Linked DNA regions of Macaca fascicularis. The protein of the gene in region 1 interacts with the protein of each later gene in a biochemical or structural test. Links are inferred from orthologs where the notes say so. Each region holds a gene or a part of one and is shown on either strand. Other genes may lie near its edges. The genes, in order: CARD11 and PRKCQ.

Region 1 (3,816 bases):
CAGTTGCTTCTCTGCGCTCTAATAAGTGCCAGGGAGAACAAAAGGCCCAGGATACTCCCAAGCAGAAGCCAGTTTTCTGCTTCTTTCCAGGCAATAAACTTCTTAAATGATAAGCTTCTTAGAGACCTCAAGGGACATACATCTCTTCTTGCCTCTACCTTCCAGACACAAAACCTTCTGCTCTGTCCGTGTCTGTTGCTGGCTCTTCTGTCCCCCACCTTCCAGGACCACCTGGCTCCCCACCCCGACCCTGACCCTGTTAAACCTCCTCCCTCCCACCCAGGCTGGAAAGCGCAGCCTGCCAGACTCCGACAAGGCCATCCTGGACATCCTGGAACACGACCGCAAGGAGGCCCTGGAGGACCGGCAGGAGCTGGTCAACAGGATCTACAACCTGCAGGAGGAGGCCCGCCAGGCGGAGGAGCTGCGGGACAAGGTGGGAGCGGGGAGCGCCTGCCCAGCAGTGCCCTTGGCCCGCCCCCTTCACACCAGGGGGCAGTGGTGTGTGTCAGCAGGACCTCCCTGACCCCACACTCCTTTCCGGGGACTAGGTCAGACCCCTGGCATAAATCCCCTGTACTTCCCAGTATTCAGCCCCTGGCAGGAGCTGCAGTTTATCAACCTGATGAGGGCCTGGGGGCAGGAGCAATGTGGGCAGAGGAGACGGTGAGGGCTTGGGATTGGGGGAACCAACATACTTGCCAATGTGTGAGTCTCAGAGCCTCACCCACACCTTGCAGATTGCAGGATCCCAGATGTGTCGGCCACCCTTGGGCATTTATAAGCTATTGCACCAGCTGAGCACCAGTGTCCCCCTCCTGATTGAGACCACACTATCCTCCCATACATTACCTGGTCTGTAGTGGGTTCATGACAATGCCAAGTTCATTGGTCCCCTACCTTGAGCCCCAGTGGTCAGATAGCCAGTTCTCAGAAGGGCAGGCCATGTCCTGACCATGCCAGCTTAGGGAGGGACAGGCCAGCTCCAGCCAGCCGGCGGGAAGGCACGAGCGGAGAACAGCTTTCAACCCTGACCTATTGATTCCTTGATGCACGTATTGATTTCTCTGTGTTGTTCACAGTACCTGGAGGAGAAGGAGGACCTGGAGCTCAAGTGCTCGACCCTGGGGAAGGACTGTGAAATGTATAAGCACCGGATGAATACGGTCATGCTGCAGCTGGAGGAGGTGGAGCGGGAGCGGGACCAGGTACAGGCACCACCTGCAGCATGCAGGGCGGCAAGACTGCACAGCGGGGCCCACACCCCAGGCCACGGGGTCCTTCAGAGTGTTTTGTCCAGTGCAATGTCACTGACAATGCAGGGATCACTCCTGAATCCATCTTTCCCATTTCTGTTCCAACGATGAATTCTATCCCAAAAGGCTTTTGGAAGTCACAGGCATTTGGGTATCAGGGGGCTCTGAGCTGAGCTCCAGCAGCTCCCACAACCAAGCATGGTTCTTAAATGTTGTCTGTTCTCTCGGGTGAGAGGATGGGTTCAGATCCAGCCCTGTCATTCATAAGGTGTATGCCACCCTGACCTCAGTGCCCTCATCTGTAAAATGAGGAAAATTACGGTAGCACCACCTCATAGGGACAGGCCGTGGCCTTCCAGGGATACTGCATCAAATCTCTCAACACGGAGCCTGCCACTAGCAAGGGTCGAACCATCGGCTCTGTGATCGTGTTATTGAAGAAGGCAGTGACTGACACACCCAGGAGTCAGGCTGCAGATGAGAGTCACAGACGATGTGGCTGGCCCCTGGGTTGGGGATGATGCCTGTCCCTGGGCCCAGCTGGAGTTGACTGGGGTGCGGCCCCCAAAGCAGCCTTTGTCCTGCTTCTTCTCCCCGGCAGGCCTTCCACTCCCGAGACGAAGCCCAGACACAGTACTCGCAGTGCTTAATCGAAAAGGACAAGTACAGGAAGCAGATCCGTGAGCTGGAGGAGAAGAACGACGAGATGAGGATCGAGATGGTGCGGCGGGAGGCCTGCATCGTCAACCTGGAAAGCAAGCTCCGGCGCCTCTCCAAGGACAGCAACAACCTGGACCAGGTGGGCTGGGACAGGCAGGGCTCACGTCTGAAGCCAGGTGCCCCATGGCGCCCACTGAGGGCTGTGGCCAGTCGCCGCCTCCCCGTGGGGCCCCACATCTGAAGGCAGGTGCCCCCTGGCGCCCACTGAGGGCTGTGGCCAGTTGCCACCTCCCAGTGCAATGAATGGCTCCTTGTCCTTTGTTTAGTTTTGTTTTGTTTTTGAGACGGAGTCTTGCTCTGTTGCCCAGGCTGGAATGCAGTGGCACCATCACAGCTCACTGCAGCTTCAAACTCCTGGGCTCAAGCCATCCTCCCACTTCAGCCTCCCGGGTAACGGGACTAAAGGCACACACCACCATGCCTGACTAATTTTGTATTTTTTTATACAGACAAGGTCTCACTGTTTCCCAGGCTGGTCTTAAACTCCTATCCTCAAGCGATCCTCCCGCTTCAGCCTCCCAAAGTGCTAGACTTACAGCCATGAGCCACTGTGCCCGGTCGGCCCTTCATATTTTTGAAGCCAGAAGTTCCCTCCCACACCCAGCATAATCCACATCTTTTAGTCTTGTGTTTGTGTCTGTTTAGTGATGAGTAGAAGCCACTCATTTTGAAGTTAGAAGATGCAGGGTAGGGCTGGGCACAGTGGTTCATGCCTCTAATCTCAGCATTTTGGGAGGCTGAGGTGGGAGGATCGCTTTAGGACAGGAGTTCAAGACCAGTCTGGGCAACAGAGTGAAAATTTTTTTTAATTTAAAAAATTAAAATTAAAAACATAAATAAGAAGATGCAGGGGGCTGGACGCGATGGCTCATGCCTGTAATCCCAGCACTTTGGGAGGCTGAGGCGGGTGGATCATGAGGTCAGGAGTTCGAGACCAGCCTGACCAACATAGTGAAACCCCGTCTTTACTAAAAATACAAAAAAATTAGCTAGATATGGTGGTGTGTGCCTGTACTCCCAGCTCCTCGGGAGGCTGAGGCAGGAGAATTGCTTGACCCCAGAAGGCAGAGGTTGCAGTGAGCCGAGATTTTGCCACTGCACTCCAGCCTGGTGACAGAGCAAACCTTCGTCTCAAAAAACAAAAAGAAGAAGATGCAGGGTCAAGCCTGACCCAGCCACTTCCTGGCTGAGCAGCCTCCCCGCTTAGGAGCCTCAGTGCCCTCTCAGTTGACCACAGCCAGCTGCTGGCCTCCTACTAGGGTTCCCCCGCACACCTGAACGGTCACTGGGTTTAAGACACCCTGCGGTCATTAGGGTTCCTAGTGCCTGTGAGTAAACCCTCATTTATCGACAATGTGAATTGCAGAGTGCATTTCCCAGCAGTGCCCCAGGCACTGAGAAGTGAAGGAATGCCTCCTCCAGGGTAGATGTTATCACTTTTATAGCTGTGGGTTTACTGAGCGCAGTCACGTGCAGGTGCCACGCAACGTGCCCCCTGCGCGTTACCTCATTTACCCCACAGAACTGTCCTGCATGGAAAGCACATGCTCAGTGTCCTCATTTACAAAAGAAGGGACCCTGACTGGGTGCGGTGGCTGAGGCCTGTAATCCCAGCACTTTGGGAGGACCCGCATTCCCGGCTGCAGTTACAGCGTGAATACAGGCCTGGCACGTAGCCCATCGTGCTGCCAGCAGGCCGTGTCCGGCACTTCCACCGTCTGCAGAGTGGGAGTCAAGGACCAGCAGGCGGGTAATGAGATGCGCCAAGGTGGGCTGTGCGTACCCAGGAGTGTTCCGCTGCTATTCTGAGTCCCTGAAGGATTTTGCACAGGGAGTGGGA
Region 2 (3,816 bases), on another chromosome or scaffold:
CTTGGTGTGCTAAGATGAATTGTGTATGATGCACTTCTTAGTCAAAGTAAGCTAAGTGAATTCATTACAGCTGAAAAAAATTGTAGGAACTGTCGAAATATGGAGAGAAAAGACCAAACATTAAATGGATCTTTGTTCTATCCTCTCACATTCTGATAGCTTTTTACTTACTTTAAAAATGTACTGATGGGCCGGGCGCGGTGGCTCACGCCTGTAATCCCAGCACTTTGGGAGGCCGAGGCAGGTGGATCACAAGGTCAGGAGATCGAGACCATTCTGGCTAACACAGTGAAACCCCGTCTCTACTAAAATACGAAAAATTAGCGGGGCATGGCGGCGTGCACCTGTAGTCCCAGCTACTTGGGAGGCTGAGGCAGGAGGATGGTGTAAACCTGGGAGGCTGAGTTTGCAGTGAGCCGAGATCGTGCCACTGCACACCAGCCTGGGTGACAGAGCAAGACTCTGTTTAAAAAAAAAAAAGAAAAGAAAAAAAAGAAAAAGAAAAAGAAATGCATTGATGAAGTTTAATAAAATTAAGATTTTGATATCTCAATGTGTTCTGAGTCTATTGGATTAAACAAGTAATTTCTAAGTTAAAAAGCATTAGTTGTTGTTTGATAAATCTTGATTAAGTTTTATATACAAATATTATTCCCAAAACTGAAAAAGTGAATGAAACTGACAACTGGATTGATAGACAAAAATTCATCCCCCACTTAAGGGGAATTTAAGATGTTCCAAGCCTGCTTTAACAGTTTTAAATAAATAACACTTTATCATAGTCTAAGAGACTTTCTACAACTCTTTGATGTGGGCATCTGAAGATGTCAATGTGTTCTACAGCCCATCAAGAATAACCATTGCCATTGTCAAATCACCAATAAGGAAGTGGTAGGGAGCCTGGTGACCCGAGGCCAGCGTAATCACACCTTCAGATTGACATGGAGTTCTGAGCCAGTCGTCTGTTACCATCATGCTTATCCCTTAGGTGCATACACTTTACACAACGTTACCCATATTTCTGTCTTCCCGTTGTTCTTCCTGCACCTCTCAGCCAGCGAGTGGAGTTCCACGGTGGTTTCAGAGATGAGGTCCACGTTTTTGCCTTTCACAATGATCTGCATGACTCTTCCCTTGTTGATGTGGGCATCGAAAGTGCTGTCCCAGGGTGGGTACATGGTAGGTTTTTTCTGGATATACATCTGCCCATTCTCTAGGAACAGAAAGGTAAGTTCTCATTACTCCTTCAGCCAGGGCTGGAAAATAATTCAGTTCAACTCAACGGTAGCACCTGCTCCCTCTGTTCTCTGGGATATAGAATTCTGTTGGGAAGACAAAAGCAGCACATAAACAATCAGAGACAATATGGGACAGAATGAGACAGTCCCCCGGTCTAGATGCAAGGTGATGCATTGAACCTTATAAGTTCCAATGTAGGTAACTCAGACAACAATCTGCTAACGCCTTGGACTGGAAATTGTTACCGAAACACCAGGCGTTCTAGGTTTTGCTGCTCACCACACAGAAAGTCAATGACTGAAATGACGAGAATTGCCAAGGAAGAAGGCTTTAATTGGGTGCTGCAGCCAAGGAGACGAGAGCTCAGTGTGAAGTCGATCTCCAAGACCGGCTAAAACTAGGGATTTATATAGCAGGTAAGAAATGTAACTTTGTATGAGAAAACAGGAACTTGGGAGGGGTAAGGAACCAATCACAATGAACCAGGAGCCTGGCACTTCCATCTCTGGATGCCATGATGTGGTAAGTTTCAGTTCTTTAATATTTTTTTTGAGAGGTGTGGGGATCCTTTCCTGAGGAAGAAACTCAGAAAGTTCCAAGCTTTAAGATCAAAAGGGTCCATTTCTATAATTAGCCAAAAACAACCGTCTATGGTACTATCGGGTTGGTTTCAAAATGTTCTTTTCCTAATCAACAGTTAGTTGCTTCACTCTGGCTGTAAACACCTGAGCAACAAACTTTTTAAAAAATCTTTTATGCCTTTGAGATTCTCCTTTATTAATCTGTCGTGTTAATCCTACGGCTGATTAACCTCACTGGCCCCGGGTTAAACATAGTCAATTCAAAACTACTGTGTGTTCATCTGAAAGACATAGTGGCATAATTTAAGCGTATAATGAATGCTCCTTTAATAAATATTTAAATTTTTTTCCATTTGACATAAATACAGTAAGAGGCAATGATCTTTAAAACATAATGAGCCATTATTTCCTTCTCTAATTCTTGGGTGAAGATACATTTTACATGTACCATGCACCCTCAGCAAAAGCTGATGGGCAACTCGGAGAGGTGGTGCTGGTCTTCACTCATGGAGCCAGCGAGGCTGAAGCAGACTGCAAGTCTGCAAGTGAGGAAAGGTAAGCAGGTAGCAGCCCTGGAAATAGTAATGAATCTGTAGACGGGAAGGTCAGTTTAGGGGAAACCTCCCTAAAGCCGCACTGTGATTGGCAAAGAGTTTGCTAATTAAGAAGTTTTTCCTTGTCTTTCATGCACATTGAATTTTCTCTGGTATTTATTCTTTAATCATTTCAGAAGCAGAAACCTGCATTTGAGGGTTTGTTTCTTGTGATATAAGCACATTAAGTGGCAGACTTAGCAATTCAGAGATGTCGATTAAGCAAAAGGGGAAAAATCCGCTTACAGCCAGGAAATAAAGCCCTTCTAACTTTCGAGGGCCCCTTCCGTCCAACACACAAAGCTAAGCAGAGCAGGCATTTAGCGTTTGTTAAATTAGTATTTATTTTGGGGGTATACAAGGAGTTGAATAAGCTTGAAACTCAAATGTTAGATAAACTTGGCTAGGAACGATATAAACCATGAGATTACTAAAGGTGGAATAGAAAGGGGAAAGTTTTTGTGGGTTGGTTAAAAAAAATTGGACTGGAGATTGGGCTTTTTAGAAACCAATGGCAATATTAATGATCACAGTAACATTTTACTTCCACAGACCTGAAGCTTCCCTTTTGGATAATTCCTTTTGATGGTAACCATTCTCTGTGCCTAGAGAAAAGGGCCAAAAATCCTCCGAGAAGGGGCAAACATCCTCGAAGCAAGGCACTTTTTACATTTGCATTCACCACGTGTGTAATTACCTAAACAGAGGATCCTGACTATCTAGAGTGTTACCGTTTTCAGTGACTCACAGCCCCACCGTCCCATGGTCTGTTTGTCCTTGTTCTGTTGGCTTATTGTGGAAAACACAGTCTTACACTCCAAGAACTGAAATGTGTTTAAATTCTGTAGAAGTAAATATTGAATGATAATATTCAGAGTGATTTCTTTTCAGAACAAACCCAAAATAAAATCAAAAGCAAAAATCTCTAAACTCCCTCCAACTCCACAGGCTAATCTTTAGGAAAACCAGTTTCCTTCTTTTCTGACAAGGTCTCTCGATCCACATGGCTGATTAGACCAAGTTCAAAGGCAAGGCCAAAAACAATTAAAAAAAAAAAAAAAAAAAAGGCCCTCAGGAGGCAAATGTCAGGGAGAACTGAGAGGGTAAAGAGAACTGGATCCAGGAGACCCATTAAGTCAAAGGCGGCTTTGAAAAACTCAGACATTTTACACTTCAAAGATGTCTGTGACATTTGAAAGGTTTTAGGTTGGGAGCAAGTGGCATTCACACTTTTAACTAAACAGGAGAGAACTCTGGGCAGAAAGGAAATCAAGATGATTCAGACAGTCTCCCTGGCTTTGATGTGTTCAGAGTGGCTGGAAGGACAAAGTCAGCTGTGAAGCAAAAAGTCTTTTGGTGGGGGATGCAAAATAGTAGGTTTGGGAACCCCTAAATGTGAACTG

What was found.
Region 2: of the proteins of CARD11 (region 1) and PRKCQ, one has a biochemical effect on the other in vitro, tested with the Homo sapiens proteins (2 studies listed by BioGRID). The link is inferred for Macaca fascicularis from reciprocal best matches to the Homo sapiens genes CARD11 and PRKCQ.

The regions. Positions count from the first base shown.
Region 1 is NC_088377.1:36,473,302-36,477,117, reverse strand, and holds part of CARD11 (caspase recruitment domain-containing protein 11), read left to right. Parts: intron 1-283; coding exon 284-436; intron 437-1,082; coding exon 1,083-1,208; intron 1,209-1,857; coding exon 1,858-2,055; intron 2,056-3,816. UniProt on the Homo sapiens protein: Adapter protein that plays a key role in adaptive immune response by transducing the activation of NF-kappa-B downstream of T-cell receptor (TCR) and B-cell receptor (BCR) engagement.
Region 2 is NC_088383.1:7,438,677-7,442,492, forward strand, and holds part of PRKCQ (protein kinase C theta type), read right to left. Parts: intron 1,214-3,816; coding exon 1,014-1,213; exon of another isoform or gene 930-1,013; intron 463-929; exon of another isoform or gene 172-462; intron 1-171. UniProt on the Homo sapiens protein: Calcium-independent, phospholipid- and diacylglycerol (DAG)-dependent serine/threonine-protein kinase that mediates non-redundant functions in T-cell receptor (TCR) signaling, including T-cells activation, proliferation, differentiation and survival, by mediating activation of multiple transcription factors such as NF-kappa-B, JUN, NFATC1 and NFATC2.